4 linked regions of the Mytilus edulis genome follow. The protein of the gene in region 4 interacts with the protein of the main gene of each other region in a pairwise test. Links are inferred from orthologs where the notes say so. Each region holds a gene or a part of one and is shown on either strand. Other genes may lie near its edges.

Region 1 (8,421 bases), on a different chromosome or scaffold from region 4:
TTAAGGGGTTATCTCAAAATATATCTAGATAATCTCTATCCAACATGTCCTTTTTGTCAACAGTAAAAAAAAAATCTATTTTTTATGATTTTGCTTGACACAATTTTCATGCTTCATGGTCAACTGTTTAAATCATCAATATGTAAGCAATTTTTACAGTAGACCTTATACAAGATACAATCAAACACTCAATATATCCTTAGTATAGACAGACAGATAACCTACACAAAGAGCCCTTATGTTTAACATTTCTCCAGGATTCATGGTACACAGATTCAACAAGACTTCCATTCTCCTTCTTCCACTCATTGATTCTTCGTCTTGTGTTTCTCCATTGGCCACCAGACTGGTACATACTACAAGAAAGGAATGGTAGAAATTGCTAATCGCACAAATGTCAATTAATGTTAAAAGATGTTTTAATTTTATTTGTTAACCACATTTTTGTATTTCTAAGTGTTATAATATACACTTAATTCTAAACATCATTTAATATTGATTGTCGTTTGAAACTCAGTGCTGTTCATATAGTGAATCTAAAAATATTTTCTTAGCTAAGAATTTTTTTTATCTAAAATTAGTTCTATGCTTTCAAAATCAATCTTTAAATAAATGAATAATTACAACAGTAAATGCATAAGACTTCTCCAACTCAAATTAAATCAAATGACTTGCGTCGGAAAGAATTTGATCTTATGCAAATGAATATCAATTCATCTGTTTACATATTTCAGGTTGAAAAAGTTTCTATGCAAATTATTATATCTGTAAAGGTTTAAAAATTGATTTGATATAAGAACCCCACAAAACAAACATTAATTCTATCTTTTATTTCATATTTCAATTTTCCAAAATCAATAAAAGTTTCATACAGGTACATGTTTACATGCAATTGCATAAGGTAGATTTCTGCCTGAGCAGCTTCAAATGTACCTTCTTTAAAGCTGTCTGGAGAGTTAGCCACCAGACGACACAACAACCAGCCTCCATTTGGTAAGTGTAACAATGTCTCAGCTACGTCTTTTATTTGAAGTAATGTAGGAAGCTCTACAAATATACAAAAAATTATTCTCTATTATCATTCTTATTTTGGTATTTGCAGTTCTTCAACAAGCAATGTACCTGCATTTGCTAAAAACAAGATATAAATCTATACTTCACTTGGAGTTGGATATTTTTGTGATTTTACTTTTTGTTACTTTTTTTTTTACATTTCATCTCATTATTTCTAATATGTAACACTTCTGTACTCGTACTCTGAAAAACAATTTATTACTGCTTACAACTATTCTATGTTTCATTTAATGTCATTTTGTCCCAGGTAAGGGTTGACTTATTGACATCTTCTTTATTACTAACTGTAAAGTCTGTGTTATACAGGGACCTATGTTTTAATATTGTATTTTTATTGTGTGAGGGTGTGTCAAAGATCAAACTAATTTGTTCAGTAAAATTGAGAATGGAAATGGTGAATGTGCCGAAGAGACAACAACCCGACCAGAGGGGAAACAACAGCTGAAGGTCACCAACAGGTCTTCAATGCAACCAGAAATTCTCGCACCCGGAGGCTTCCTTCAGCTGGCCCCTAAACAAATATATACTGGTTCAGTTCAGTGTATGCTTACTTGTTTTTGTTTAAATGTCTTTTTGATCAATTAAAGTCATTTCAATTGAATATTTTATAGCGTCCTTTTATGTTGTAATGTTACAAAATTGTCTCAGACAAGGGTGAAGGTTGGCACCAGTTTAAACATTTAAACATATTGCATTTTCAAGCACCTGTTTTTAGTCAGGAGTCTGTTGTTCAGTGGTTGTTGTGTGCCGTTGTGTTTCAAAGGTGTTTCTCCTTTCTCTTTTTAATATAAATCATAGTTGGTTTTCCTGTTTAAATTGTTTTACACTGGTCATTTTGGGGCCCTTAAATCTAAAATTTGCTGTTCAGAGTGAGCTAAGGTTCTGTATTTAAGGCTGTACTAAGACCTTAAATTGTACTTTTTAAACATTATGTCTTGGAAGGAGAGTTGTCTCATTTGCACTCATACCACATCTTCTTATCTCTATTACATAGATATAAAAAGAATTGGTATGAGTGCCAATAAGACAACTCTCCTTCCAAGTCACAATTTATAAAAGTAAGCCATAAGGTCAAAGTATGGTTTACAACGTTAATGTATATTACCTGCTTGTGCTATACACAATACATCAGATACTTCTTCAAGGTAAACAATGCTCTCCAGTAATTCTGATGACTTGAAATAAAATTCTGCCTTGTTTTCTTTCATCTGAAGCAATATAATATTGACATTGTAATAAAAGTATAATTTTTTTCATTATAAACGCTGGTTGCCAAACACAATAACATAGATCATGTAGATCTACTCTCATCATCATTTTTGAAGCAGAAACTAAACAAATCTGGTTTATATAGAAACTGCATTGTATTTCTTTATAAAACATAATTTAATTTTGGATGTAACGTGTCTTCTGATTGGCTGACGTTATTTTGTTATCAGCCCATAGACATAATTTAGTCATGTGATTGTGACGTCATCAACGTTTTTTCATGGTTTTCTACAGTTTAAAATGGAATTTAGAATTAAATTATAAGAAATGACTGTAATATTTTTTCTGTCTATTCGAAATAACCTAAAAAATGTGGTGCACACTGTTAAATAACCTGCTACGCGCGTTATTCAGTGTGTACCACATTTTTTATGTTATTTCTTCATAGACAGAAAAAATATTACAGTCATTCCTTAAATGTTAAAAATTGACAGTCTTCAACCCTCACTCAACAGTATATACTGGTATACTGCATATTCTTTATTATTCATTAAATACCATTTTTTGTGGATTTCGTGGGTACAGTTGAACTATGAAATTAAATTTTGTAAGAATGATAAATGTTCTTTATGCTTGTATGCAGACTTCGACAATACCATGAATTTTTAAAAACATCCACAAGTTTTCGTTAATGCATGAAAATTGATACCTCCCTCTGATTCTCATACATAATGTTGTTACTTAATTAAAACTTTTGATGTCTTTAATGAAGTTGAATATTCACAATAGAATAACATTGAAAATTCAATGTTGATTGTTTAACATGCTCAATTTACAAATGATAAGATAATTAACCTGTGATGCTACAAAGAGAAGTTCACTTAATAGCAGACGAATTCTACGAGCATGGTCACTTCTTTCAAACTCCATAGCAAGCCCACACTGTAACTGAGATATCAGGACACTGTCAGTCTGTGATGTACCAATCTTTGTCCTGCAAGGAATAAGGTAAAAAATTTAAGATTATTATCAAGGAAAAAAACAAATATGTCATCACTTCTGAAGGTATGGAGAGTTAATCTGGAAAACAATTTGCTCATCAATACTTACATGTACAATAACTCTTTTATCATGTTTATTGTGGGGACAAAAACTCCAATTGCAGCAGGAAAATCAATAATAAAAAAACATCAATGTACCTATGAACTCAAAATCATGAACTTTTTATTTTCCCGCATTTGTGCAGAAATGTCTTTCTTTCTTCTGGTCTCAATATTGTCATGAGACTGAATAAAATATACATGTATGTTAATTCATTTATTGTTATTGAGGAACATGAGGAAGGAGCAGAATAACAATTTTGTTTTTATTAATTCTTTGTATACAATGAAAATGAAGTCATAACTTAAATGATGCACAACTAAAATCCCTAACAGGGTTCTCGCTAAGGATTTTTGAAGGCGAGTCCAGGGACTCGTCATTTTTGGCCATGGTGAGTCCAACAGCAAGAAGAATATATTTTATTGCAATATAATGTAATATTTTATCCTCCATGGCCTAACAGAGCAATGAAATGACATTAAATTCAGATTACTTTTAAAACTTTTGCTATAAAATGATGATCATGATGATATTTGTGTTTTACTGTGTTCAATTTATACAAAATATTTCAATATTGATGCATCTTTGGACTCACTAGTTTTGAGAATGGTGAGTCCAAACAGATTTTGATGAGTCTAGGACTCATGGACTCGCTTTAGCGAGAACCCTGCCTAACAACAGGACCAACATAGGAAACTGTAAGATATTTTCGTTTCTTTTTGAACAGATTTTTAAATATGTTTGAAATAAAAAAAAATGATTAACTTTATCCTCTTTCACGGGTAATGCCTGCCTCATATTATTGCAACGTGATTGTAGCCAGTGCCTTACTCAGTAACTCACTACTGTTTTTAGGGGTGTACCTGAGCTGTTGTTCTTTTTTAACGTCTTGTTCTAAAGCATGGAAATCAATAGATAGCAATGCCACAATGCCATTCACAACTTCTATCCCAGATAAGATTTTTAAGACTTCTTTTTTAGCTTTTGTCCAGTTGGAGCTCTCATCAAGTGGTTTACACAAAGCCATTCTAACAAGACATGGAAGAACTGGACGCAAATCAAATTCCTTCGAATCACTCAGTGAAGAGATGTCAACATCTCGTACTGCTCTGAAGATTTCGGGTTTAACACTACACTTTAGATTCTGCATTGTTATTGCTAAACCTAAAAAAATGTAAAGGATTTACAAAAATTTTAAAAGTCAAAATTTTTTCATGGGGGCAGCCATTTTGCTTTCTCAACGTCAGTCTGACGCTTTGTTGTAATTGCGTTTCTTACAAGCGCGAAGAAGACATAGATCATATTTTTGTTATGGCTGCAGCTGCAAGACAGAATTCCTCCCATGGTAAAATAAGTGCTAATGTTGCTCTAGATAACAACAGACCCCAAAATAAATAGTTCCCCTCTAACCTTATAGTTCTGTCATGCATATTGTTGTTCATAAATACTTATCAATGCCAGAACAATATGAAAAGCAGTTTGAAGTGGATACAAAGCTTTTCACAACTCAAACAGCAAAAATACATTAATTCATTCAATAAATATATTTTATGACCCTGCCATAAGGTGGCTAAGGCTGTATAGTTCTACCCTTATCTGCCATTTGGTCATTCTACTACAAACAGTTATACACATACATGGGTCCAGCCTTTCTCCTAAACACCAAATAATTGGTCAGATCATATGTTATTGTATTCATATATGAGGGTGGTAATGGGGATACCTTCATGACGAATAACGATAAAATTCTAGCCAAATTTAAACGTAAAAGGTAATTTTAGATGCATGACGATATTAAAATGTATACTTTCTTTTAGGGGATAAAAAAATCGACTGATTTTGACGAATCACGTTAAATTTTTCTCAAAAATGACGGTAAGGATAATCATTTGACACCATTGACGAATCACGGTTCACCATAAGGATATTTTGACGATTCACTGTAAAATTTTAACCAATTTGACGCTAACGGTAGCTGGAATTGAACATTTGACGCCTGATGGTAAAGGCCATTACTACCCTTATATGTAGTTTTTCTTACAAGGAGAGACAAGATGGAATAGAACGTAAATTATAGCAAGATCAGCTGAGCAAGATGTTTCCAGAAAGAAATTTTTTTATAAATGGGGTCATGAGGATTGACATGATTGAATTTACAAAGAATGGAAATCATCTTTTGGGGAAAACACTGAATATCATTAAGAATGCTGTATCTTTTAAATAAAAAATAATTTCTTTTTCAGAAGCAGATGAAAGAGTGAGATTTCAGACAGAGTTAGAATTTGTACAATGTTTGGCTAATCCGAATTACCTTAATTGTGAGTATACAATGACAGTAAAAAACCAATTCTAATTGAGAATGTGTCTTTGGGACAGATGATGCCCCATACTTGCATATAACATTGTAAAGTGACATACATCCACAACTGTTAAAGTGACAACACCTATATTCTTAAGTTAGAGAACGGAAACAAACTTAGGTATGTATCGATGAGCAAGGGCAACACTGAATGTCAAATGTAAAACCTTTTTAGGTTGGATGACATCTACTGTTAATATTAATTTGTAACTGTTAATATTCTATGTTAGATGCTCAGTCATTTGCAACAAAACTGCCCAGATGACAATAATTAGATATCTCAAAAGTTTATTTTTAACATGAAGATATATTTTTTTATATTACATGAAGGAATACACACTGACGATTTGCCACTGATTTAAATACATGTAATACAAGCTTGGCTACAATTTGAAAAAAGTTTGTTTGCATAGCAAAAGAACTTTTGTCCTGCAATGTACGTGCCACCAAAACTGGCAAAGACCCCTTAAAGAGTCATGAGAGTTGTTACAAGAATTCTTTAATTTTCAGTTATTATTTTCTCTCCCAATATGAGCCATGTAATTTTTTTATCATTGATTTATTAAGATTGCAATTGCATATTTTATCCTTGTTATGTGTTGTGTGAACAGTTTTAAGTTAACAGAGCTGTAAAAATATACTGTTCAATTTTATTTTTTTATAGTTTTAGCACAGAGAGGATTCTTCAAAGATCAGACATTTATCAACTACCTTAAATACCTGCAATACTGGAAAGAACCTAAATATGCTAAATACCTCAAGTAAGTTTGTACAAAAATGTACAATAGTGAATTTTTGTAGGAATCTTGTTATACTGTAGATTCATTTATTTTTGTGTATTCCAATTTTTGTGGATTTTTATGTGTTCCAATTTTTGTGGATTTTTTTATGTGTTCCAATTTTTGTGGATTAAGAAAATCTTGCATTTTCGTGGCTATTTGATATCGTGATTTTGCCAATACAATGTACATCCTTATACATGTTATAGAAAATCTGTAATTCTTTGAACATTTATACTTGTGGTTTATCTGTACCCACGAAATCTTCAAAAATTAGTACCCCACAAAAAAACAATATATCCACAGTAGTAGATATTTTACGAAAAAAAAAATAATTATAAATTCAACAGAAAAAAATTGTTCTCATTATGACCTGACATTTACTTGCTCAATGCAGGATATGAATGAGATTTTCATTTCCAGAAGTTGACAGATATGCCTTGTACAGTACACACAAGGAGTTGCAAATTCTTTATGACGTTATGTTAAATGTTCATGTTACAAGTTGACAAATAAACACTGTATGAGTTATGATACACCAAGCAATATCTGCTTTAAAGATTAAGACTTTCCCATTGTATAACTAGTTTGTAATTATCTCTTGCAATATTTAATTTGTTTTCATTATTTTTATTTCATTTTCAGATATCCCCAATGTTTACATTTATTGGAGCTGCTACAATATGAACACTTTAGAAAAGAATTAGTGAATTCACAATGTGCTAAGTTTATAGACGATCAGCAACTCTTACATTGGCAGCATTATCAGAGGAAACGCATGAAGTTATTGATCGATGAAGCGGAACGACACAAACAAGATCAAAAAGATAAAACTAGCTGACACAGCAATAATAAATGTGTTGATTTAAAATTAATCGGTCAGAGATATTCTCTGAATTGTAATGGCAGCTATGTGGATGGTCAAAATTATTGTCATCTCTTAAACATCCAAAACGAACATTTTTATGTGTAAAATTTTTCCGAGGTTGATACTTGTCATAGACGTAACATGTACATGATGTATTTAGCAGGAAATTTTTTCATCTCTGTTCATAGTTTTTAGGCAGTTTTATAAACTGTATAAAATAAAGAGATGTTGTATAGAGATATTGTATTTTCATTGAACAGAAGTTTCTTTTTGATATCTGTTCCAAACATTTCCCAAATAGGGCCTAAATTTATATATTGTTTGTTTCCCCAATCCCAATCCTCCGCAGCCAGATATGGGTAGGTACATGTAGGTAGCGAAATAATTTTAATTTTCCAAACAGTTTGAACATTATCGGACGATCAGGTAAGCCTGAAAATCAGAAATGAATAAAATAATATTGGACTTAGATTTGACAATACAATTTTATATGTAGCACCACATTTTCAGGGTCAGTCGGGATTGGGGAAACAAACAATATTTTATTTTTAGAAGAAATATTAAATCTAATGTGAACAGATGATATAGCTTTATTTATCATGTTTATAACCAAGTTTCCATACAAATATTTGGCAGGCACAATATTTACTCATTGTTGAAGGTAGTACAGTGACCTATAGTTGTTAATGTCTGTGTCATTTTGGTCTCTTGTGGACAGTTGTCTCATTGGCAATCATACCACATCTTCTTTTTTATAGAACAAATATATGTTAACAGTATGACTGCCAATAAGTCACCTATCAAGAAGTGTAAAAAAGATGTTGGAAACTAGCTGTGTTGGTCACTGTTCCACCTTCAACAATAAGCAAAACTCATACTGCATATCATGCTTTTTCAGGCCTAGATTTACTAGTTTGTATTGTGGCTATACACTGATTTCTGAAGCTCTCGTCCAGGTGTTGGATTTTCTTGATGTGTTGAAGACCCATTGGTGGCCCTAGTCTGTTTTCTGCTTATGGGTAGGGTTCTTG
Region 2 (8,216 bases), on a different chromosome or scaffold from region 4:
AATTTGTTTTCGCATAACATCTCAATTTGCAATTTACCTATACCCACCAAATCCACAAAAATTGGTGTCAAGTAGCCTCTTTGGCAATCATACTACAACACGGATATAGATTGATTTGTGTTTAATGCCACTTTAAACACTATACTGTGACTGTCAGTTTGTATTGATGGAATTTATAAATGTATTATATCTCATTTAGAGGTTTATCGTGTTTATAAAACTATCTTTTCCTTGCACAGTCCTTACTTCATAGGCTTCTGACACTTCCTGGAATTTTTTAGCAGATCCAGCATCATTCTTGCTCACATCAGGGTGGTGTTTTTTGGCAAGCTAAAATAAAAGAAATACAGATATTAGAATAGATTAATATTGACTAGTATGACAAAATTCACTTTTTTCAATGTTTGAAAAAATATATCATCTTGGTTAGCAATGTTAGTAACTCTGTGCAGTTATCCCTAATCAGGATCTCTTTAGAAGTATAGCTGGAAAGTAGGTAGATTCACATAAGGTGTGATAAAAAAAACAAATATGTTATTTTCACGATTTCATAAAATAAAAAGTGAGTTATGTAAAAACCCTAAACAACAGACCAACATCATGAACATTCATCATGCTCATCATTTATTTTTATACATATGTTCCTAAATCGTGTAAATCAATCAAAGTTTTGTAAATGTACACATGCATGAGGTTGATTTCTATCATTTGATAACAAAATTATGATCAATTAGCCGACTATTTCATTGCACTATGTAAGTATCAAAGTAGAAATGTGTGACCCCTGAAAATAAGGCAAAAAAAAAGTATGTGTGTTTACTGTACCCCTTCCTACCCTAATTTGTATCCCTTATCTTTAAGTTTTTTTTGCCATTTGTGATTAAACACTGATAAAGTCACAATGTTGCTCCCAAAGACTCAATGTAAAAAAAAAAAAAATACCTACCCTTGTTTTTTTTCCAGCATGTGACAGTAAACACACATACTTTTTTGTTTGGCCTAATACCAATCACCACCGATAATATTAAGGCTATCCAGTCAGTTACTTTATTATACATGTTATACTTGCCTCATAGTAAGCTTTTTTAATAGCCTTAGCATCTGCATTTTTTGGAACCCCTAAAAGTTCGTAATAGTCTTTTTTGTTGTTTGGTGAACTTCTGTGAATTTTTCTATGTAAACAACAGGTTTTGTGAGCAACAGACAATAAATCTGAAATTACAGTAAGATATATATATATAGATATTTATTAGTTTAAACATATTTATTTATAGTAGATTGGGAAACAAGTTATTCATTTGTTATTGCATCTTATATTTATCCCTTTCCACTTTGGAGACGCGAGTGCTGCCCAGCCGCATTAATTAGCCTGCTCTTTTTCAAAATCTACAAGGATGTCATTTACTTGCAAGCTATAAGAGATATCTAGATATGGCTCTCTTAACACACGTCAGTCATTTATCGTCCCCTTCCAACGGACCATCATCATTTCCTCAAGACCATACTTGCAAATGGTGTCAAGGGAGAACCGATAATTCACTACTTGAAATTTTCATCCCGGAACGGGAATCGAAGCAGGAACCTTTGTGTTAATAGTCTGATGCACTAACCACTACACCACGGCTCTCTTATAGATATTTATTGCTTTGACACCTCAGTACTTTCTTAACACAGGAACCATAATACACTCCTATCAGGTCTAAAAAAAAAAGATATGTGTTTCCTGTAACATCATTTTGAAAAATAGGGTCGGTAGGTCGGAATTCTTTTTTTTTTTTTTGACATCGTAAATGAAATCCGGAAAATTATCATGGTTTTTCCAAGTCCGGATCCGAAATTAGTTTCAAAAACCGGAAGTGTGCCATTTGCAATGTTTTTGAAGCACCTGCTGTCCAAATTTCTTGGATTTTAACCTATTTGGAATACCTTTTGACATTAATAAAATGTTTTACTGGCTTTCTATGCAAGTAGAAGCAAGAGAGAAAAAATATTAGGCCTAAAAAAAAAAGATATGTGTTTCCGGTAACATCATTTTGAAAAATAGGGTCGGTAGGTCGGAATTCTTTTTTTTTTTTTTTTTTTGACATCGTAAATGAAATCCGGAAAATTATCATGGTTTTTCCAAGTCCGGATCCGTAATTAGTTTCAAAAACCGGAAGTGTGCCATTTGCAATGTTTTTGAAGCACCTGCTGTGCAAATTTCTGGGATTTTAACCTATTTGGAATACCTTTTGACATTAATAAAATGTTTTACTGGCTTTCTATGCAAGTAGAAGCAAGAGAGAAAAAACATTATGTCATCTATCAGAAGCCTGTGTCAAAAACGGGGTCGGTTGATACAATTTTTTTTTTTTTTTTGAAGATCCAATAAAAAAGTTAGGGTCGGGGCTAAAAAACAGGGTCGGTCGGGTTACCGGAAACATCGATCTTTTTTTTCTCGGCCTTATGTCATCTATCAGAAGCCTGTGTCAAAAATGGGGTCGGTTGATACAATTTTTTTTTTTTTTTTTTTTGAAGATCCAATAAAAAAGTTAGGGTCAGGGCTATAAAACAGGGTCGGTCGGGTTACCGGAAACATCGATTTTTTTTTCTCGGCCTCAATGTTGACCAGACAGAATATTTTGAATGACTATCTTCATACAAATTTTATAATTGTTTCCAGTGCGCAATGGTGCCAAGTCATGTAGAGTATGGATGACTTTAAAACCAGGTTAGTTTAAGAGTTTATATCTTTACATTTTACCAAGCCATCTCAGATAATAGGTTGATTAGTTTTCAAACATTTAAACATTTTTTATTATATTCTGCTTGTGGTTAACAACAGTCCTGGCCTCTTTTCCACAAATGTGACCTTTCAAACAAAAGTGCTTAGCATTTACACAAGCAAGAGGACAGGTGCCACATGTGGAACAGGATCTGCTTACTACACCTACCCCCATAATAATGTTGGTCAGAATTGTTTTGCTCTTCTTATGGATTTTTTTATTCTTTCAGTACTGTCGGTTTTTTTTATTGTCAGTTTGTTTTTGATTTATGAGTTTGCATGCCCATTTGATATCTTCACAGGGTCTTGTTTAGTCGGTCAGACAACAGCACTAAAAACAAGCCCTTGTGGTTTTTGTTTTAGTACCTCTAGGATCTTTTACATAAATAAAGGAACAAAACATGTCAACACTACATGTCAGATGGCTTTACTTATGGATTTCTTCGATCATTTCTATAGAAAACTTCAATCATTGAGTAAATAGACCCTGAATACATATGACGCAATTAAGTTCTAAGCAGGGACGTTTCGACCTTGTCGGTCATGCAGAATGTTTAGTGCATATTTAAAGATTTACTTGTTTTGGAAGTTGATTTCAAAATTAGAGATGAGGAACAACGCCTTTCGATGTGATGAAATGTATCGTCAGGGAAGGGAGACTTCCCTGAAACAACCACTGTTGCATTTAGTTTCTTATTTCCAAGCCGACAGCATGCTCCCCTTAGAGCAGCCATTTTCCGTCTGCTGAAAATCAAGAGGTTTATAAAAAGTCAATACCGAAACACAAATTATGTAATTCTATAGATTTGGGATCATAGAAGTAAACAGCGAAATTATATAAAATAATTCGTTTTGCAATGTTTGATATTCATTTAGGTAGTAAAATTGAATTTTTAGTCTGGTTAATTCGACTTAAAAATTGAAAAATCGTCTGCTCTTTATCCCAGACGGTTCTCAATTAATCTCGGAAATCCCCGCGATACTTCAAAAGCCGGAAACTTCAAACCTGATAAACTGATTTCCTGTAAAATTCATAACAGACGACAAAGTCTATTGAAAAACAGTTTTAAAGGGAGAACCTAACAGTAATTACTTACAGATTTGAAATCAAGCTTTCCGAACATATTTAAAAATGTGAAGAGAATAAGCAAGCTTATTTTCTTCATATAAATCTGTTGTCAATGTACATGTCCTTGATCATGTTGTTCCAAGATCCGCCCCTTATCTGCTTATACTTTTGCCCAATAAACAGATCATAAAGAGACACCAGCAAACAGTTAATGTCAATGCAGGGATATTTATTTTAAATTCAAATTATACTCATTCAAGAGATATCTTGGGTACTGAAATATATCTGAATGAACAACTGTGCATGAGCCATGACTCATTCTCATAAAACACCTTATTGATTATACTTATGACAGTGTCTGCGCGTACCCGCATGCGGATACGAATAGTCAAATTGCCGTTCTAGGCTGCGCATACCCACATCCGGTTTTCTATTAAAATGCCATCAGATCGGGAATGAAACGTGAAATATATACAAAAATTATCGATAATATGGGGATTTCGTGTAGAACGAGTGAAGAGTATGAAAAATATTATTTTCAAATTGTATTAATTAAATAATGATAATAAACATTGCAAAATTAAATGCACAATGATGGAAAATGAAACTGTACACACAGGCACTAGACGTTCTGTCAATAGTATAAAAATATATTATATATATGGACACAATTGGAAGAAAATAGTGTCCATATGGACACTATTTTCTTCCAATTGCCAATATTTTTATACTATTGACAGAACGTCTAGTGCCTGTGCTGTACAGTCCCTTTAAAAGAAAAACATGAAAGAAATTAATACTGTTATAAAATTTAAATCACAGAAAATTTAAAGAATAAAATTTTAATAATTTAAATATACCCATATGCTATTTTAAAATAATCTTTCAGTAAAATGTAAAACAGAAACTGTTTTCCTGTCAACGCACATAAGAATAAAAAGAGGCAGTCGTAAGTCATTCAACATGTTCAATTTATAAGTTGCGTCAATAAGTAAGACTTCAGGATATTTATCAAAGAAATTTTGCAAATGGTTTATCCTGGAAAAATATTTCATTCAAAACACCAGATTCATCTTTTACTACTCTTACTGTTGCACCTGAAATATAATAAAATATTTTAGGTATTCATATTCAGGTTAAAATGAACAAAATTATAAATTAAAGTCTTCCCCACAGTTATAATATCACTTTTCAATTTTATGAATATTTGCTAACTGAGAAAAAACTGTTCACTTACCTATATATATATATTTATTATAAAACCGGATGTGGGTACGCGCAGCATAGAACGGCAATTTGACTATTCGTACCCGTATGCGGGTACGCGCAGACACTGCCTATACTTATTGCTATCTGGAATTCTGCCTCTGCTGACCTGAGACTCTGTCCTGCTTTAACTATTGATGTCATAGAGCTATCAATTTTCCATTGAAGCGTCACATATTTTGTATAATGACATCAAAATTTGATGTGAACCTTTATGAAGTCAAGTAATGGTGGATAGAGAAGGGTTATAGTGGCGCCTTGCGGATCTAGAAATGTTCATAAATGGGAGGGGGAGGGGCACTGGCACTGGTATTTGGGGTTTGAACCCAGGTCAAAGACTTTAGAATTGGTATGTGCTGCTTCTCTCCTAAAAACTCGGCATAAAGTTTATGTGTTATTGCACAGACTGTGACAGAGTCAGAATAGTGTACATGCCCATATTATTATAGGGTGTCCTGTTTTCAACAAACCAGCAAAACTGTACACACTTTGTCATATATTAGACTGATAATTTCTTGTTTGAATTGTTTCTTATCTTTCATATGCCATTGAGGTCTTTTATAGGTGACTAGTCTATACAATATATGGATCTTCTCATTGTTGAAGGCTAAATGGTCGCCAATGATTCCTTATATGAGCTTTTTTCGAATTCTGGTGGATAGTTGTCTCATTGGCCATTATACCACAAACAAGGAATTATTTCAATCTCGAATAATTTTGAATTCTTGAATATTGATAAAAAAAAAAGTATCATGTCAGATAAAATATCCAAATCATTCCAGATTCAATTAGCCTTTTAAAAGTATTCTTAAAACTACTGTTGTAGTCCTTTTGACGATATTTTTGTGTTTTTTTTTAAAGTTGACAACAAGTAATGATTAAGTTTTATATTCATTGTAGGAAGCAGTAATGGCTTGGAGGTTTAAGGCATCGAAGTACAAGAATTCAGCACCAAAACTTCTTAAAAGAGAGGTAATCTATAATACAGTATTAAGTCACACTAAGAAAGAAAAAATAAACCAAACAAACTAATAATTTGCTAAAAGGTATTTCATTTCCAAAATCATAATTTTTTTAGAAAAGGTCACTTAGTCGGCTTTCAAGCTTCAAGCGAGTCAAAATTGAGGGCCCTCATGGGGTTTTTGATTATGTGATTACTTGGCCGTTTTTTTAATGATTATTTGATTATTAAGCCAAATATTTCATGATTATTTGATTACCTAGGACTGTATTTTTAGTTTATGATTATTTGATTACTAAAGATAAGCAAATATTTAATGATTATGTGATTATATTGGCAAAAAAATGGTGATTATGTGATTACTAGGACCCCCCCATGAGGGGCCTCAAAATTCACATTATTTAAATATTTCTTTTATGACGCAAACAAAACAAAATAAATATGACAGAATATGAATCATGGTATTAAATCTAAAGGCAGATATATTTTCCGTTTCTTTAGGCGGACATATTTTCCGTCTCTTTAGGCGGATATATTTTTTAGAAATTTTTTTCCTTTTAACAAGGCGGATTTTTTTCCCCCTAAGACAGGTGGATAAATTTGCATATTTCAGCTCTATTCCACCCTGAACCCGCCTGGAATCCATGTAAGAAAGATTCTTTGTGTAAAAGGTTACTTTAAAGGATTCCCTCTAAAAAAATCTGTCTGGAATCCGTGTAAAATACGCCTGGATTTTTTTCGTACGGGAAGACATATAACAAATTTTACTTTCTGAAAAAAGTGTAAAATTCCATGCAACATCACAAAACGTATAAATATTACAGTTCAATCTTACACATACTAAAATCTGAGTTATTTCACAACAAGAACTCAAATAAAACAGTTTAATAAATCATAATTTTTTTGTGTGTTATTTGTTTACCCGGTATCAATACGAATGTATAGGAAGCAAAGTTAATTTAAAAATTCATGAATGAATCAAATAAGACATTAAAGAGCCAGGCCTGCAATGTGAAGAATATCATTTCCCTTAAGGCTGAAAAGACTATACAGTCGTTATTATAGCTGGTTGAATATTATAAATTTCAATACTGTTTGTTGTGCTTTTTTTATGATTATCAATTTAAAAAAATGTAATCAAATATGTTCCTCAAAAAGCAGAATCTGGTGCTTTTTTTATGATTATCAATTTAAAAAAATGTAATCAAATATGTTCCTCAAAAAGCAGAATCTGACATCATTATGTCTAAGCAGTAGTGGCAGGAAATAGCAATAAGTTTAATCTTAGGTTTTTGTGTTTTACAACCATCACTTTGAATAATTGCATTCTATAATATCTGAATTTATAATTTATCTGCAAATTGCAATATCTAACATGTCTAAAGTGCTTGATTTTTCAATAGGAATGGATTGGAGACATATCTGCTGGAAATTTACCAAACTCATGTGGCAACCACATCAAAGCTAGCTGTCAATATATGGCCTTTAATGTAGATACTTCAGGTATGTTTACCAAACTCTTGTGGCAACCACATCAAAGCTAGCTGTCAATATATGGCCTTTAATGTAGATACTTCAGGCAAGTTTACCAAACTCTTGTGGCAACCACATCAAAGCTAGCTGTCAATATATGGCCTTTAATGTAGATACTTCAGGTAAGTTCACCAAACTCATGTGGCAACCACATCAAAGCTAGCTGTCAATATATGGCCTTTAATGTAGATACTTCAGGTAAGTTTACCAAACTCTTGTGGCAACCACATCAAAGCTAGCTGTCAATATATGGCCTTTAATGTAGATACTTCAGGTAAGTTTACCAAACTCTTGTGGCAACCACATCAAAGCTAGCTGTCAATATATGGCCTTTAATGTAGATACTTCAGGTATGATTACCAAACTCATGTGGCAACCACATCAAAGCTAGCTGTCAATATATGGCCTTTAATGTAAATACTTCTGGTAAGTTTACCAAGCTCTTGTGGCAACCACATCAAAGCCAGCTGTCAATATATGGCCTTTAATGTAGATACTTCAGGTAATTTTAGCAAACTCTTGTGGCAACCACATCAAAGCTAGCTGTCAATATATCGCCTTTAATGTAGATTCTTCAGGTAAGTTCACCAAGCTCTTGTGGCAACCACATCAAAGCTAGCTGT
Region 3 (8,855 bases), on a different chromosome or scaffold from region 4:
TAATATATGTAATATATGTCTATTGACATATGTGTGTTTATCTGTATGGCACGTTTATATGTATTTACAATTTTTATTTATTTAAAGAGTTTACTCCCTTAAGTGTTCTGTGTCCTTTCAGAACTTAAGTTTTACTTACAATTAGATCCACATCCTCTTTACTTATTTTTATCTTTGACAATTCTTTCTCTCTTGCAATGAATTCTGCTCTTTCTTTGGTCTTTTTCTCTGTTAATTTGTTCATAGCCTGAAATAAAAAATAAATAAATATGAGCTTATTAATATAATCTTATTTCATTAGGGTTGCAATTTCAGCACAATATCTTCAACCTTAACAAAAGTTTTTTTTATTCAACAACTACATGAACTAGTCAAGTATTCATTATTCAGTCGTTAGGGGACTAAAATTAAAATCCTTCCACCCACCCAATATAGTTCAATAATCTGTATGAAAATCTACCAATTATTTTGAGTTGGTCTTAGTTTATGAAAATATAGTTTTATTTTATGAGGAGGGTAGGAGGGGTCCTGATCCCGAAATCCCGGGCTTAAAAACCCAAAATACCAAGGTCCTAAATTTAAATAAATTTGAATCCCAACATTCCGAAATTCGAAAAAAAAAATTCCCGAATCACGAAAGGGTCAATCCTGAAATTCAGAGCTTAAAAACACCCGATCCTGTAGTCCCGATAAAGGTCCTATCCCCCTTCTTTTATTATGATAAAAATTTCAAATGGGCCCCTGAAAATAAAAAAAATTAAGGGTCCAGCTGGCCCCTAGAGGAAATCAGTTAAGTTTAGTCCATGATTCATATATTGTAATCTTGCGAAATCCAGACCCATAAACACATGGCAAAATCATAAGCATGATAAACCACTCATTTATTCCTCAGTTATCACTAATTATTTATATACCTCCATATAGAAAGGTATCAGGTCCGTTCGCGCCCAATATAGTTTCGCACCCTACACGTTCGCAACTCACATTTTCGCCCCCGAAACATAATCCGACTTAAAGCAAGGACTTTTTTTTTATAAACTTGTCATGACACAAAAAAACTTGTCAGAATCTCGAATTATTTAAAAACATGGCATATATATTTATACCAATACACCTCCAAAAAATCGGTAAAATTAGGTGCAAACATGTGGGGTGCGAACGAACTTTTCCGCAAAATTTAGGTGCGAACATGTGGGGTGCGAAAGTGAATGGGTGTGAATGTGGAAGGGTGCGAACGTGATTGGGCGCGAACAGACCCGGATTCATATAGAAAGAATCCCCCCCTTTTGTGGACTTGTAGTTGCACATATTTATATGATTCAATGTTCAGCCAGTTTTTTATTAACGGATGAAGCCAGGTGCCCAGTGAAAACCACGGACTTGGAAAGTGAAACTGACTACCCATGTAAATTAACATTTGAGTCAAGTGCACCAGCATGAGCTTGGTTTCGAATCCGGGTCCGTCCGCCCTGATTTTTGTTCGCCCTAGTAACTGTTCGCCCTAGTTCCGTTTCGCCCTGAGACCGTTCGCCCTGATACCTGTTCGCCCTGGGTATGTTCGCCCTGATTTATATTTTTTATTATAGTGTTGTGTTGTGTGTATTTAATTGAATATGTTCAAGTCAGTCTACAAATTTCAGGATAAACAAGGAGAAAAACATATGCTACATGTAAAGTGTAGCAAGGCACTTGTTTTAGTGGTGTATTCCTTCGAAGGTCTTGAAATTACATATTGAATGATTATTAACTTTTTTTTTCATTCACGATGAACATGACAACCGGCGAATAACTAACATTTACTGTATTCTGAAGTCTTCATTGTAAATGAACAGTATTTGGTTGATTTTTTTTATATATAAACTGACATTATGTATTAACTAACAGACATATTTCTCTGGAATTAGTGATTCCTTTAAATATTTTAAATTCCCTGCTTGTGAAAACGTACTATGAATTTAAAATAGCGAGAATAAAACTTGTGAACCACATGTCTTATAAATTATTTTCTGTGCACTATAATGTATAAATGTAAATGCATATTTTGTTTTGTTTAGTACCAAAGTCAATGGACATAGTCGTAGGGGAACATGTCAACACTTATAAATGAGGGTTTGAATGCTTAGAATGTGATTATCAAATATTTAGTTTTTAATCATTGTCGCCCATAATTTGATTTTCCTTTATTTTATAATTTAGCACCATTTTAAATCCATATTCTTTCAAATTTAAATTAATTTCAGAGCCGATAAAACCTCACCCAGGCCCTCATATATACAATGTACTAGAAATTATTCTGACACAAAATTAACTAATTGACCTAATTCAATAGTAAAGTGATTTAATCAGGAGACTCGTGAGTTGCATCCTCATCTATTCTACTCACTGTTTTCGCTTGCAATGGGGTAGGACAAAATAAATCTGTTGTCGATTTCCTTTTACTCTGACAAACTTTAATTACAGAAAACTACCGTAAAGGGTATTTCCAAGTAGAGGAGGGAAAATTAATTCAAATGTTCCCATAAGTCTTTAATAATTCGTAAAGGGTATGAATCAATAACCGCGCCAACAAGACATATCAAGTTGCTACATTATTGTTTAGTAGCCAGTTTGCTGCAATGATCATTTAAAAGAAAATACAGTGAAGGAAAAAAAAAATTTTCTTTTTTTTTTACTGAGGCAGTTGCCTCGGTTGCCTCAACGTAAGCTATGCCCCTGTTATTAATAGATAAACATAAATTTTTATATATATAAATATACATTTCTTTTATTAATGTAACATTTACATATCATTAATGAGAATAGGGCGAACGAACTCAGGGCGAACGGATTACCAGGGCGAACATGTAATCAGGGCGAACGATCCCGATACCCTTGGTTTCGAACTCACAACCTCAGTGTTGACTGGATAGTCGCCGAGTCGGGGGTGTTCACTGCATATGAATCTTATATGAATTAGGGGGGGGGGGGGGGGGGGGGGGGGGGGGTAATTCAACTCAACGTTGTCACAATACTTTTTTCAGTTTTGAAATTCGGTTCTGCCATTTGTTTAAAGAATGCACCCACTTACATCACCAATGCTTTGTGCAGAGATTTCCGTTTCCTCGACAAAATCAGTGACTTTTTCTAAATCTGCCGCCCCTGAATCGTGTTTCTTTGATTTGTCCTTCTTACTGTCATCTTCTTGATCAGGCTCCTCTACTTGTTCTTCTTCAGTTGTCATGTTTTTAACTGGAAATCAATCCTCTCAGTGCAAAAATAATTTGTGATTTTCTTTTGGTATTTTCACGTGTGTTGTTTTGTAAGAACGATAACTCTGCAGAAAATATCTGAATACCGAATTAAAATACTGTCTAAAAACGGACAGAATTAGAAATTTATTTTATTTATTTTCCTTGATATTTTCGAATGTTTTTGTATCAAGCTTAACTTATTTCTGTTTTCTGTGAACGATATAATCACTTCTGAGGTGTAGATACGACCTTTATCGGGACTCTTGGATCGTACACCACTTCCGGAAAATAAAAAGGTAAACATTAACAAATCGCATACTAACTTGCTTTAGTTCTGCTTTACTTTTCATGTACTAATATTGCTCATTTGTCAAGTTCATTGTCCTCGTGGGTAGCAACACGAGTCCAGTATAACAAATCATTATTTACTAACGCTTATATTCAAATTTATGTCTCACCTTCTATGTTCGAGCACATCATATTAATAAACAGTTATAAACATTTTACCAATAAAAATGTCGTTATTTAGTACAGTACTCACACTGATAACAATTTATTGTGTGTGTCATGAAGTAGATCATAAGTTTGTGTCATTAGAAAATGGCAAAACTACAGGTAGTTCACCATTTATCAAATCTTACCCAAAAGACATTGAAGATCATAATGCTTTGTTATTTGTTCCAAAAATCAACATTACAGAGAACAAATTTGTATCCATGTATTTCTGGCTATACCACTCAAGAAAAATACACTGCTGCAATAAAGCATTACATTCAACTTTGAAAAACCACCACTTGTTGCTAAAAATTCTGTTAAGTGGCCAAATTGAACTCAACCCAGGCCCTAGAATGCCACGCTGGCCATGCGGTTCATGTGGAAAAAATGTCACTTGGAAATGTAAAGCTCTAGAGTGCGACTCTTGTAAGACTTGGTACCATGTAGACTGCCAAGGAGGTATGCAAACAACAATGTATAACATAATGGACAACAGTAACCTGTCCTGGAACTGTATTAAATGTGGACTCCCAAACTTTAGTAGTTCATTTTTCAACCAAACTGATATATCATCATCAGTCACAAACAATTCTTTTTCATTGTTAAGCGATATTGGTAGTCCTGGACAGCCACATGCTTGTTCATCACCAATATCACAAAAGGACATCAGAAAACAAAACAAAAAAGGTATAAATACCCAAAATAAGTTACTCAGACCTTTAAAAATAGTAAATATTAACTTCCAGTCTATTAAGAACAAAAAACCAGAAGTAGATATTTTGATTGATACCACACAGCCTGATATTATAATTGGTACTGAAACCTGGTTAGACTCAAAAACATCATCTTATGAATATTTTCCAAAAGATCATTACACAGTATTTAGAAAAGATAGACCACCAAATAAAAAAGGACAATGTCATGGAGGTGTACTCATAGCTATATCAAATAATTATTTATGTACAGAAATCAAAGAACTAGACACAGGATGTGAAATGATATGGGTAGAATTATCGATATCAAATGCACGTAAATGTTATATATGTGCTTATTATCGACCCCAGCCAGATGATGATACATCTTTAGATTTACTAAATGAATCCATAAGTAGAATAAATGTAAACTCAAAGTCAGCCATAATTATTGGTGGGGACTTTAATTTAGGAAACATCAATTGGGAAACAACAAGTGTCATCCCTGGAAAACCAAACCAAAAACAACATCAACAATTTTTAGATATGATAAATGACCATTCATTAGCACAAGTTGTAAACATACCAACTCGAAATGATAAAATTTTAGATCTTGTGTTAACAAATTATCCAGCCATCATTGAAAAAACTGAAACCATACCACCACTAGGTGAGGCAGACCATGATATTGTATATTTAGAATGTTTACTATCACTAAAAAGATGCCAAACCAAGCCACGAAAAGTATATAAATATAAAAATGCTAACTGGCAAAAAATAAAAGAGGATATAGACGGCATATATCAAAAGATCATACATAAAAAAGATAGTGAAGATACAAACACACTTTGGTTAATATTCAAAAACTCATTACAAAACACTATCACTGAGAACATACCACAGAAAATGATGAGAAATAGTAAAAATTTACCTTGGATAACAGACAGTATTAGACGGCAAATGAAAAAGTACAAGAAAAAGTATCAAAAGTACAAATTAAAAGGCAAAGGGAAACTAGACCAACTTAAAAAATTAAAACATGATATACAAAAACAACAAAGAACATCTTATTGGAATTATATTGAAAATATGATATGTGGGATACCAGTTGATGAAAACCCTACTACTATATCAAAGAGTTTCCCAAAAAATCTGTTCAGTTACATAAAAACACAAAAGTCTGAAAGCTCTAACATACCACCACTCCGAAAAGAGGGCTCACTAACATCTGACTCAAAAGCAAAAGCTAATATTTTAAATGAACAGTTCAAAAAAGCATTTACACCTGTAACAGATGACCCAATACCAGACAAGGGCGTCAGTAAACATCCGCAGATGCCTGATATTAAGATACAAAAACAAGGCATTGAAAAACTCCTAAATAATATCAACATCAACAAAGCTGCTGGGCCTGATCTCATCCATGGTAAAATTTTAAAAGAGTGTAAATCATCTATCTCTCCCATCTTATCAATCATATTTCAAACATCACTGAACTCTGGAAAGATCCCAGATGACTGGCGTCACGCAAGTGTATGTCCAGCATTCAAAAAAGGTGACAAACACGATCCTATAAACTATCGTCCAATATCATTGACTTGCATCTGCTGCAAACTATTAGAACATGTTGTAGCTAGTAGCATTATGAAACATCTGGAAAAAAATAAAATACTATATGACTTACAACATGGTTTTCGATCCTCCCGCTCCTGTGAAACTCAGCTAATATCATTTATTCAAGATCTTGCAAATTCAAATAATAAAAACATCCAAATAGACATCATAATAATGGATTTTGCAAAAGCATTTGATAAAGTTTCACACCACCACCTCATGTATAAAATTGGTTTCTATGGTATAAATTGTAATGCATATTATTGGATTCAAGATTTCTTAACAAACAGAACACAAACAGTAGTCCTTGAAGGTGAAACACCAAATAAAATTCCTGTAACATCTGGGGTACCCCAAGGCACAGTGCTTGGTCCAATTTTATTTTTAATCTTCATCAATGATTTGGCAGAATATATTGAACACAGTACATTAAGATTGTTTGCAGATGACAGCATTATTTATAGGGAAATTAAAAAACCAGATGACACACTTAAATTACAGTCTGACTTAGAAGCGGCCGGCAGGTGGGAGCAGGACTGGCTCATGCATTTCCACCCTGACAAGTGCAACATTCTCAGTGTAACTCAGAAACGCAAACCTTTAGACTTTACCTATAAATTACACAATCACTCTTTAGAAAAAGTTGACTCTACAAAATATTTAGGCCTAACTCTTCAATCAAACTTAAAATGGGACAAACATATAGATAACATGACATCAAAAGCAAACCAGTCCCTTGGATTTATTCGTAGAAACCTAAAAATAGCATCACCGAAAGTTAAAGCTCATGCATATAAAGCTCTTGTCCGACCAAAATTAGAGTACTGCTCAACAATTTGGGACCCACATCAAAAACAACAAAATTTACAAATTGAAAAAGTTCAGAGAAGAGCAGCACGCTTCTCATGCAACCGCTTCCATAACACCAGCTCAGTTACTGAAATGATGACAGACCTAAATTGGTACCCACTCGAAATTAGGCGTTTACGATACAGACTTGTTTTCTTTTACAAAATTATTCATGAAATTGTTGCAGTTCCTACACATAATCTTTTGATCCCACTTGACAATAGAACCAGACATAGCAATCCACACTCATTTAGGCAAATACAAACATCTAAAGACAGTTATAAATATTCATTTTATCCACGAACAGTTATAAATTGGAATCATCTGCCACAACAAATAGTATCATGCAGTACGGTAGAGGGATTCAAGAGTATGATCTCAGAATCTGCTCTAATCCCCATATTCTATCCCTAACTATTCTGTTATCAAATGTATATAGTTTTATCACAACTTATTTTTTCAAATGTACATACGTTATGTTGATTTTTTGATTTTGTTATTTTTGATTTTTTGTTGCTAAATTAGTGTAAATTATAAATCTTATAGTCGACGCCCGGCGAATAATCTTCAATAATTGAAGGATCGCTAGAAACCAAAAGAAGAAGAAGGGTGTTTAAGCTCGGGATTGACCCTTTCGTGATTCGGAAATATTTTTTTTTACTGACGGGATTTTAAATTTATTCAAATTCGAGACCTTGGGATTTCGTATTTGTAAGCCCGGAGTCATTAAGATCAATTAAGGCCGTGACAATCTAGTTCATTTAATAGGTAAGTCAAATATTTGAATAATGAAAAATTCAATCATTTTATAAATCTTTGTGCAGTCTTTTAGATTTCTTCGGATAAATCCCAATGTTTTATTTCCTTTGCCTACAATACTGACTGGCAATGTGTCTATCCCAAGATAGGTTGTTGCTGATTGTTACGCCTAGCTATTTGCTTGCATCAACATTGTCTAGTGTATGTCCGTGGATTTTATATGATGTATCTCTCACTTCTTTGTTCTTCTGAGCTATTCTTATAACTATGCATTTTTTGGCGTTAAAACTCATAAATTTGCCATTTATTATCCCATTCTTCCAATGATGTTAAGTCTTTTTGTAAAAGGTCGCTGTCTGCCTGGTTGTTTACTGTTCTAAAGAGTAGGCTATCGTCTGCAAATAGTTTTGTTTCAGATGATGTTGATGTTTCTGGCATGTTATTTATGTAGGTCAGAAACAATCATGACACTATGATAGCGGTCCAATAACTGCGCCTTGGGGGACGCCTGAAAGTACCGGAACTTGAGAAGAGACAGCTCCTTCTAATATTACACTCTGCATTCTGTTTTCAAGGAATGATTAAATCCATTTTCTAGCTTTAGGGTTTACTCCATAAAATTCTAGCTTATGTAAAAGGCGGTGGTGTGGTACTTTGTCGAATGCCTTTGCAAAGTCAAGAAGGATGATGTCGACTTGGGATCCTTCTTCCAGTTTTTTAGCAATGTCATTGATTGTTATTATAAGTTGCGATTCGCAATATCGTTTTTTGCGGAATCCATGCAATGCGTTGGTAAGTATCTTGTATTTGTCAAAATGGTCCATAATACTGCTGTGGACTATGTGTTCCAAGACCTTAGATGTGATGGAGGTTAATGATACTGGTCTATAGTTGGAAGCTAAATGTCTTTCATCTTTCTTGAATAGAGGTACCACGTTAGCGTCTCTCCAATCTTGTTGGACTTCTCCGGTGCTAAGGGATGTTTGGTACAGATCTGTAAAGAAAAGGAGCGAGTTGGTCTGCTGCTGTTTTCAGGATGAATGATGGAATTGAGTCTGGACTAGTAGCTTTGTGTGGTTTAAGGTTTTTGAGTAGTTTGTGTACTCCCTTAGTGCTGATTTTGATGTCATCCATGGTGGAATATGGGCCTTTTCCTTTGTTGGGAAAGTTATTTAGTTTTTCCTTTGTGAATACTGACTGGAATTGATCATTGAGT
Region 4 (8,349 bases):
CAAGAAGGTTGATAAGGCTAGCTAACAAGTGTTCTCTGTGAGAATATGAAATAATTTACTTTTTACTTTATTAGTAGGAATTTACATATGGTTCTGACAACAGAAATATTGGTGTGTTTTACTCAATTTTGTAGATTTATGACATATATATAACAAGTTTGAGTGCTCTAGAATCAGAGGAAAGGTCAATAGGTGGATTGCTAGCTTCCTGTCACATCCGACACAAGCAGTAGTAGTGGATGGAGAGAGCTCATCACATATTGATGTAGAATTTTGGGTATCCCAAAGCTCAGTCCTTTGGCCCTCCCTATTCCTGTTCTACATCAACAAAATGACTGATGATATTAAATCCATCATGCAGATAACACCATAGCATACCTGACAATATCAAACTACAAAGATTTGAACAACCTACAAACAGATCTTGATAAACTAGCTACATGGGCAACCAAATAGAAAATGGCCTTCCACCCAGACAAGTGCAATGTACTTTATCATCAGCCGGAAAAACAATACCATTACAACATCCTACAAACTACATTGTCACACTTTAGAACCTGTCAAAAGTGCCAAATACCTAGGCTGCACATTCACATCTCAACTGAAATGGAATGTAAATAAGGTCTGCAACAAAGCCAAAAGAACAAGCTGCTTCCTAAAATGAAACTTGAATATCAGATCTAATTCTGTAAAGAAAAATGCCTATAAAACACTAGCAAGACCAATCACAGTCTCGACAGCCAGTCCAGTATGGGATCCATACAATAAAACTGAGATTGACTGACTAGAGATGGTCCAGCCCAAATTATATGTGATGAACAAACATCTTAATCACTCAAGTGTAAGCAAGATTATTAATTATCTTGATTTGAGATTCCTCGAAAAAAGGCAAAAAGATGCAAGACTCGCCATGCTCTTCAAAATTGTAAATGAAAAAGTTGCAGAGACAAAGGAAGATCTTCTGATGCAACCTAAATGATTGTCAAGAAATATGCATGACAGAAGCTTCAAAATTCCATCAGCTACAAGTGATTAATGGAAATATTCTTTCCGCTAAACATCAAAGATTGAGGGGGGATAGGACCTTTATCGGGACTCCAGGATTGGGTGTTTTTAAGCTCGGGATTTCGGGATTGACCCTTTTTGGGATTTCGGGATTTACTTTATTTAAATTCGGGACCTCAGGATTTCGTTTTTTTAAGTCTGGGATTTCGGGATCAGGACCCCTCCTATCCCCTCAAGATTGGAACTCTCTACCTCCTGGGGTTGTATCAGCACCGTCAGTCAAGGCTTTTAAAGCCTCAGTGACAAAGCTGAACTAAATTAAAATAAAATGGGGGGAGGGGGTGGGGCCTGTATGTACAAAAAATTCAGTTAGTTGATTGTGGTCATTATCCGGCAGAAGTAGACGACAACCGTGGAATGAAATAATTTTTTTATCAGAGACAAGTGCCTTAGTCAAAATAATTATGACGTCTTGGAAGGCTTTTTAAAAATGTTGCTTTGACGTAACGCGTCAAAGAAAAAATATCTAATAACCTTTCAAGACATCATAATTAATTGGACTAGAAAACAAGTGCCTATGTCATGGCGGTATCTGGATGATTCGTTCCAACTCCGATTCGTCCCAACAAATTTGTCCCAAGTTGCTTGGACAATTCGTTCCAACTTTTTCCAAAACTTGTCAGTTCGTTCCAACAGTATTAAACAATATTAACCATTTGCATAGCCTTATTATTTTAATTTATAATGCTGTACTTATATATATATAATGTAAATAAATACTTAGTTTTAATAAAAATCTATGATTTATTAATTAGGAAGAAAGGTATATTGGGTATGATATATTGATAAATATTAATTATTAAGTATTTCATGACAATCTAATATTTTAAAAATGAATAAAGTACTAACTAGTGTTATTTTCAAAGAATTCGTTATTATTATAATTGATTATTGTATTTCAATGGATAGGTAGCACCATCTTCCCCATCAGTGCTTGGACTGTTTTTGGCCAACCCATTCGCACTAACAACGACGTCGAAGGCTGGCACAACAGACTAAACCGCAAGGCCAAGGGTGCCAGCCTTCACTTGTATGTGATGCTGAAAGTTCTGAGTGATGAAGCCAGGTACCTACCCATGCAGATCCAATTAGTGTCGGAGCATAAACTCACGCGCTACCAAAGAGCAGCCACAGAGAGATCACAGTCTAAGCTGATGGAGCTGTGGGACAGTTACAGAAGCCAGCAGCTTACAGTAACCCAGCTGATGACATCCGTTGCACTTATCGTAGTGCCGTCCGTTGAACAGTAGAATGAACTTTCTGAAATACTACAAGTCATTTAGACTATTGATCAATTATCCATGAACTTGAACTGTTATTGTTATATTTTGTTATTAGTATATGTGTCAATGACATGATATCAAATAAACATGTAAACCTTAAACTTATTTTTTTTTATTGGAAAAGACATTCAGATTATACCGAAATATGATAAAAGTTGACAAGAAAAGGAGAAAAAAACAAAGACAACCCAAAAAATCTATGTCTAAATAAACAAATATTGTACATATAAATCTGCGTAATTCAACATAAATATTTGTTAAAATCGAACCATAAACGCATCATGAAATTTCATATCGCACATGCAAAAAAGAAGCCATAGATATTACTGAAAAACGATCTTTTAATATGAAAATATTAAATATGATACATAAAAATTGACAAGAAATTGATGATTTTTGCCGTGAACTATAGGTTGATTTACACAAAGACAGTGATATACGGACAGTGTAAGAAAGTTGGAACAAATTGTTAAGACTGATTGAAAAACGATCTATTATATGAAATATACATAAAAAAAATTGACGATTTTTGCCGTGCAGTGGGTTGATTTACACAAATACAGTGATTTACGGACATACACACTATAAAAAAGTTGGAACATATTGTTAAGTCTGATTAATAATAAAATAAATTAGTTGGTACGAATTGACAATTGACTTGGTACGAATTGTCCAAATCTGGAACGAACTGGTTTGGAACGAATCGGACTTGGAACGAATTGACTAGCATTCGTCATGGCTATGCCTATGGTCGTATGGATAAACTCAGGCTATCCACTTGCAACACCTGTTGCTGCCAATGCAAATTAGAATCCAGTGATGATGGTTCATCTGGCAATGTTAAATCGAGCAAACGATGGCATTTTGGTTTCGACAATTGGGGAAAAATATAATATGTCCGTGTGCGTGAAATAATTTATCATGGTCATAAGGCTGGTATGATTACTGATCTTGACAAGAAATGGGTAAAATTTAACCTTTCTTGTTCGGACGTGGATCACCAAAACGTCAGATAAAAGGCTGGGGCTATCGAAAATGTAGGAACAACTGCTGTCATTGTAGCTTTCACTATGTTTTTCTTTCAGTAAGTGGTCAGGTTGATCAATATCTTAGACCGGAAGTTTAATTTTACGGTCACTAATCTATGTATTTTCGACCCAAAATTCAGTTCGTCCTGAATGTGGTTTCGTCCCCGATTTAAGTTCGCCACAAGCATTTTATCCTTACCGAAATGGTTTAGAAAGAATACTACCAAGTATTATTTTATACATGATGGCATTTACAAAAGCATCATTGCTAGTTAACAAATGTCACTTACTCAGATTTTAATAAACAGATTATTTTCATTGAAAAAATTTCACTTAATCTTATCAAATTTATTGATAGTTGAAGTATGCTTTAACCAAGCAGGAATTTGATAGATTTTTTTACATCAAAATTCCCCGATATATTGTCTATTAAGCTTACACAAGTAGAGAAAGTGTCCTTCTAAACTCTCTTTGACAAGACAGACTTTTTGATAGAGGTTATAAATAAGTTGTTGTTCAATGATTCAGATATTTGTTTGGAATCCATGAACATCAATTTGCAGATTCATATTGTGTCTGTATTGGTTAATCTGCTTTAAAATTTTATTGTTTGTTTTTTTCAAAAGAAAAAGATCTTGTATTCCTGTACTGTGTGTGGCATTGCTGCAAGGCATTTTCAATGTCTTTGATATGTATAACATTGTTAAATATTTTCTGTGTTATTTTTTTACCTGTATTTTATTTTCAGATATTTGGTTTTCCTGCACTCAATTGTTATTGGTTAGTTTTATGTATCTTTTGCTGGTCCATTGATCAAGACTTCATTTAATAAGGGAGGGTTGAAATATCAAACCAAAGCCTCAGAAGAAATTGTCATTCCTAGTATGAGGAATAGGTTGACAATTTTGGCAATATTGACTGATGCAAAGTGCTGAACATTTTTGCCAATTACAGTTTCTTTCTTTTTTTTAAGTTTTAGCAACAACAAAACAATACAGGTTGAAAATCTTAAATATAAAATTGTTGTGTAAACAGACACTGCATCATATAGCATAAAAGATGGACGAAAGATTTCAGAGGGAGAGTCAAACTCATAGATAGAAAATAACCTGACAACGCCATGGCTGAAAATAAAAAGACAAACAGACACAACATAGAAAACTAAAGACTAAGCACCATGAACCCAACCAAAAACAGGTGCTCCGGAAGGGTAAGCAGATCCTGCTCCACATGTAGCACCCGTCGTGTTGCTTATGTTATTACAAATCCGGTAAATAGTCTTATTCGGTAGGTCACATTGACATGTTCATATGAAGCCTGATAGCAAATTTCAGGATGCTCTAATCTGTAGATCATGAGAAATCTGTAACAGATATTCATGGGAGGGATGGGCAGACATACAGAAAGGGGAAAAACAGTGTACAACCTCCTTCACAGCAAGGTTTAATAATATACTTCTGAAGATAATGTTGTGCTTGCATGAAGCTTTTCTCATAATGCTTTCATGAAGAAAGATATGCAAATGATATAATTACTAATCACATGTAGCTTATTTTATCTCTATGTGTTGTTCTTCCAAAATGGCTGTGCCCATGTCACTCTATTATAGAACATTGTAATCCTAGGGCTAAAGTAATGTTTGGCCCAGTATTTTAAGAGGGGATTTTTTTTTTTAAATTACTACAATTGATGGCAATAGCTCGCTTGACCTCTTGGGCAAGATAAGCTACATATTTTTATGGCATTATAATGAGCCTTTCAAAAGTGAGGAACCTTGTTAGCAGTATTTTTTTCACATCATAAAGTGTGTTTTTCATTTTAGAGAATAAGATGTTGGAAACAGTTTGATAGCATCTGTTATTCCTAATCTGTATTTACCTTGGGGTGGATTTAGAGTGTATTGACACCAATTTATCTTGTAAGACCAGAACATTTTGTGTTGTTTTTTGTGTTGTGTTGCTGTTTCATTGAAGTTAAGCCCATTCATTCATATTTATTACTGGGCATCACCCTTCATACACATTCCAGCAATCTTGCATAAAAAGTTATTTTTAAGAACATTGTATGTGCCTATTTAAAGTCTCAACTGAATATGATTGCTTACAGGGTATATGATATCTACTTTCTCAAGATTAAGATCTGCTGTGGGAACAAGAATATTGCAAGAATAAATTTCTAGGTCCACAGAATCAAGTGTTCAGTCAGTGGCGGATCCAGAGGGGGGGTTCCAGGGGTTGGAACCCCCCCCCTTTTTTTTTGGCCGATCAATGCATTTGAATGGGGACATATAGTTGGAACCCCCCTTTATCCTGGGTTGGGACCCCCCCCCCTTTTTTTTTAAATGGCTGGATCCGCCCCTGTCAGTATTGAGCAGCAGGTCAAATTGTTAGAATGACCTATTACAAACAGCACATCATTTAAACTCTCCATTTGTTCACAACTTTGTTCCATGTAAAATTTGAGCTAACAAGTGGACAGTGTAGTGAGCTTCTGTGTCATTTGGTCTCTTGTGAAGAGTTGTCTCTTTGGAAATCATACCACATCTTTTTTTTATATTGTGTTAAAATTGTAGAGATGAAAAATAAATTACCATACAAAGGATTAAACCAAAAACTTGCAGCTGTTATAATTATATGACTCTCACGTCACTGAATAGCGCTGTGAGGTGCATGTATAGAAATGAAGACAAATATTAGCTATGATCTTTCATTTATTATGTTGTCAAATGCAGAAAAAAAAAACAATTTGATCATTAACAATAACACAGATTTTTTAGTATTACAATAACACTATAATAATCATTATTTAATAATAATCAAAAAAACATACCTTAATACAGCCTTACACTTATTTATATATCTTTAAGAAGGCAGCTTTAGACAAAGTTCAGTAGTAAATTTGAAGTTTTTTCATGAAAAATAAGAAAGATAGCATGCCCTTGAAAATGCTTTAAACTTTATAATTCAGCTGTATAAAATCAAAATTTGTTTAAATCATAGAAAAAAGTCTTTTCCCTTCAATTGTAAGAAAATTATACAAATTTATGAATTCATCAGAGGATTCATTTCTCAATTTCAATCATTCATACACATTAATTTCAACAAATTTAAGATGAAGCTATGATAGCTTTCCAATGTACATTAAATTATAAAGGTATTTATACAGACAATCTCATATATAGCTTTTTTTGGGTCAAACACATATAAATACACATTGTCAGATGAAAGACTAATTCAATAATAGAAAAAGTACAAAAAAGTAAAAACGTTGACCAGAATTACATCACAATGATTGTTCTTCCAATGCTCCTTTTAAAGCTTCCTTTTCAGTAAGAAAAAACTTCAAAATAAACAGGAATGTGGAATAATGATAATTATATAACATCTAAAAATTGTATGTGTACATTCACCCTCACATTAAGAGGGGTTTTCCCACTACAGGATAATTGTCTGATTATGTTCCCCAAAAATAAAATGAAAATTGAATGTCTGAGTAAGTTTTGAAACTAAAAATCCCAATAACATTTATATTAAATTAAATCTTAAATTAAAATGTGTAAGTATTATATCTTAAAAATTGACAGATCCCTTCCCATGGCCTCAAATTCAATGGCCCCCTTAAAACTATTAAAGTCATGAATCAGTATTACAAATATAACATTTATGATATCAAGCAATCTTTTTCTATTGAAAAAAACATGATTATAAACATCAATCATAAGATTTTCAAGCTTCTGTAGTATAAATATCACTTTCATATTAGGAAAAATTTGTAAAAGTAAACATTTTGAAAATATAATTCTAATAAATAATGACCATATTTATAAATAACTTTTTACATATATAACCATTCACAGGCAAAAAATGAACCATTCTGAACTTCAATATCATTGCACAATGATTATCTGAAGGATCACAAAATTAAGCAGCACTTTGAAATAAATTGAAGATGCCAAAATGTTAGCTTATTATATATTGTCTTCTTATTGCACATGATAATACTTTCATAAATTTCAAATCAGCAATTCCAGTTTAACTATGTTAGATCTATGAATTTATGTTTAAAGAAAAATTGAAAGAAAACTACCAAATTTGATTTTTTTTTTTCAATATCTCCCATGCAACAACTTCAAAAAACTTTGAAAAACAATAATACTATTCATAACAAAACACTTATGCAAAATGTACTTTGACTTCAAAAGGACAGAATTCCAAATCAGTATTAGACTGTCTGAATAACTGGGTATGTTGCCATGCATTATCTCCCTTCCCTCCACTCAGATCAGCTGTGATTGTCATACCATCTTCTCCTTCAAGGTCATGTACTGTCTGAAACTCGTTACTTCCTGAAAAAGAATATTAAGAACTATAAAAAAAAATCCATTTAAACAAAATTCAAATGGAAAACTAAATTGCTTATCAATTTATTTAATTTGTACATAAAAAGGCTGCAAGTTTTCTTGTTTGATATGTTTTACAATTGTCATTTTGGAGCCTTTTATAGCTGACAATACAGTATGGGTTTTGCTCATTGTTTAAGGCTGTACTCTGACCTATAGTTGTTAATTTCTGAGTCATTTTGTTTGTAATAAATATGTTTTACTGATTCTAACCCTATAAGAAATTAGAATAATGATATATTACATTCTTTTTCGTTAAACAATGTTAATCAAGCCACTTTCAGTCTTTTTCATTTTTTGTAACAAATATTGTTTTGTTGAAATGGACATAAATCTAGTTGTGGAGTGATGAATCTGAAAAAACACAGTACAAAATCCTGAACCAAATTTCAGAAATCTTTGTAATGTAGTTCGGACTAGTTCCTGAGAAAAATGTGAAGCAAATTTTCAATTTGTGTAAAATTATGTAAGTGTTCAGTAAACAGGAAGTTGTTGAATGATGAATCTGAAAACACATCATAGCTGACCCATATAAACCCTGAAACCAAAATTTCAGAAATTCTTGTAATATAGT

The links.
Region 1: the proteins of huntingtin-like (region 4) and mediator of RNA polymerase II transcription subunit 31-B-like interact in binary tests that used the Homo sapiens proteins (3 or more experiments, as listed by UniProt). The link is inferred for Mytilus edulis from reciprocal best matches to the Homo sapiens genes HTT and MED31.
Region 2: the proteins of huntingtin-like (region 4) and protein tumorous imaginal discs, mitochondrial-like interact in binary tests that used the Homo sapiens proteins (3 or more experiments, as listed by UniProt). The link is inferred for Mytilus edulis from reciprocal best matches to the Homo sapiens genes HTT and DNAJA3.
Region 3: the proteins of huntingtin-like (region 4) and huntingtin-interacting protein K-like interact in binary tests that used the Homo sapiens proteins (3 or more experiments, as listed by UniProt). The link is inferred for Mytilus edulis from reciprocal best matches to the Homo sapiens genes HTT and HYPK.

Annotation. Positions count from the first base shown.
Region 1 is NC_092349.1:27,276,836-27,285,256, forward strand, and holds mediator of RNA polymerase II transcription subunit 31-B-like, read left to right. Parts: upstream 1-4,625; 5' UTR 4,626-4,695; coding exon 4,696-4,729; intron 4,730-5,627; coding exon 5,628-5,702; intron 5,703-6,407; coding exon 6,408-6,504; intron 6,505-7,167; coding exon 7,168-7,363; 3' UTR 7,364-7,629; downstream 7,630-8,421. Other genes in the region: integrator complex subunit 2-like, read right to left, coding at 226-356, 934-1,047, 2,180-2,282, 3,139-3,277, 4,248-4,534. UniProt on the Homo sapiens protein: Component of the Mediator complex, a coactivator involved in the regulated transcription of nearly all RNA polymerase II-dependent genes.
Region 2 is NC_092351.1:74,633,186-74,641,401, forward strand, and holds the start of protein tumorous imaginal discs, mitochondrial-like, read right to left. Parts: upstream 3,524-8,216; 5' UTR 3,499-3,523; coding exon 3,342-3,498; intron 1,213-3,341; coding exon 1,070-1,212; intron 331-1,069; coding exon 247-330; intron 1-246. Other genes in the region: coronin-7-like, read left to right, coding at 6,009-6,071, 7,464-7,563. UniProt on the Homo sapiens protein: Modulates apoptotic signal transduction or effector structures within the mitochondrial matrix. Affect cytochrome C release from the mitochondria and caspase 3 activation, but not caspase 8 activation.
Region 3 is NC_092354.1:40,488,933-40,497,787, reverse strand, and holds the start of huntingtin-interacting protein K-like, read right to left. Parts: upstream 3,317-8,855; 5' UTR 3,221-3,316; coding exon 3,068-3,220; intron 248-3,067; coding exon 140-247; intron 1-139. UniProt on the Homo sapiens protein: Component of several N-terminal acetyltransferase complexes. Inhibits the N-terminal acetylation activity of the N-terminal acetyltransferase NAA10-NAA15 complex (also called the NatA complex).
Region 4 is NC_092347.1:34,305,876-34,314,224, forward strand, and holds the start of huntingtin-like, read right to left. Parts: upstream 3,488-8,349; 5' UTR 3,326-3,487; intron 1-3,325. Other genes in the region: peptide-N(4)-(N-acetyl-beta-glucosaminyl)asparagine amidase-like, read right to left, coding at 7,549-7,721.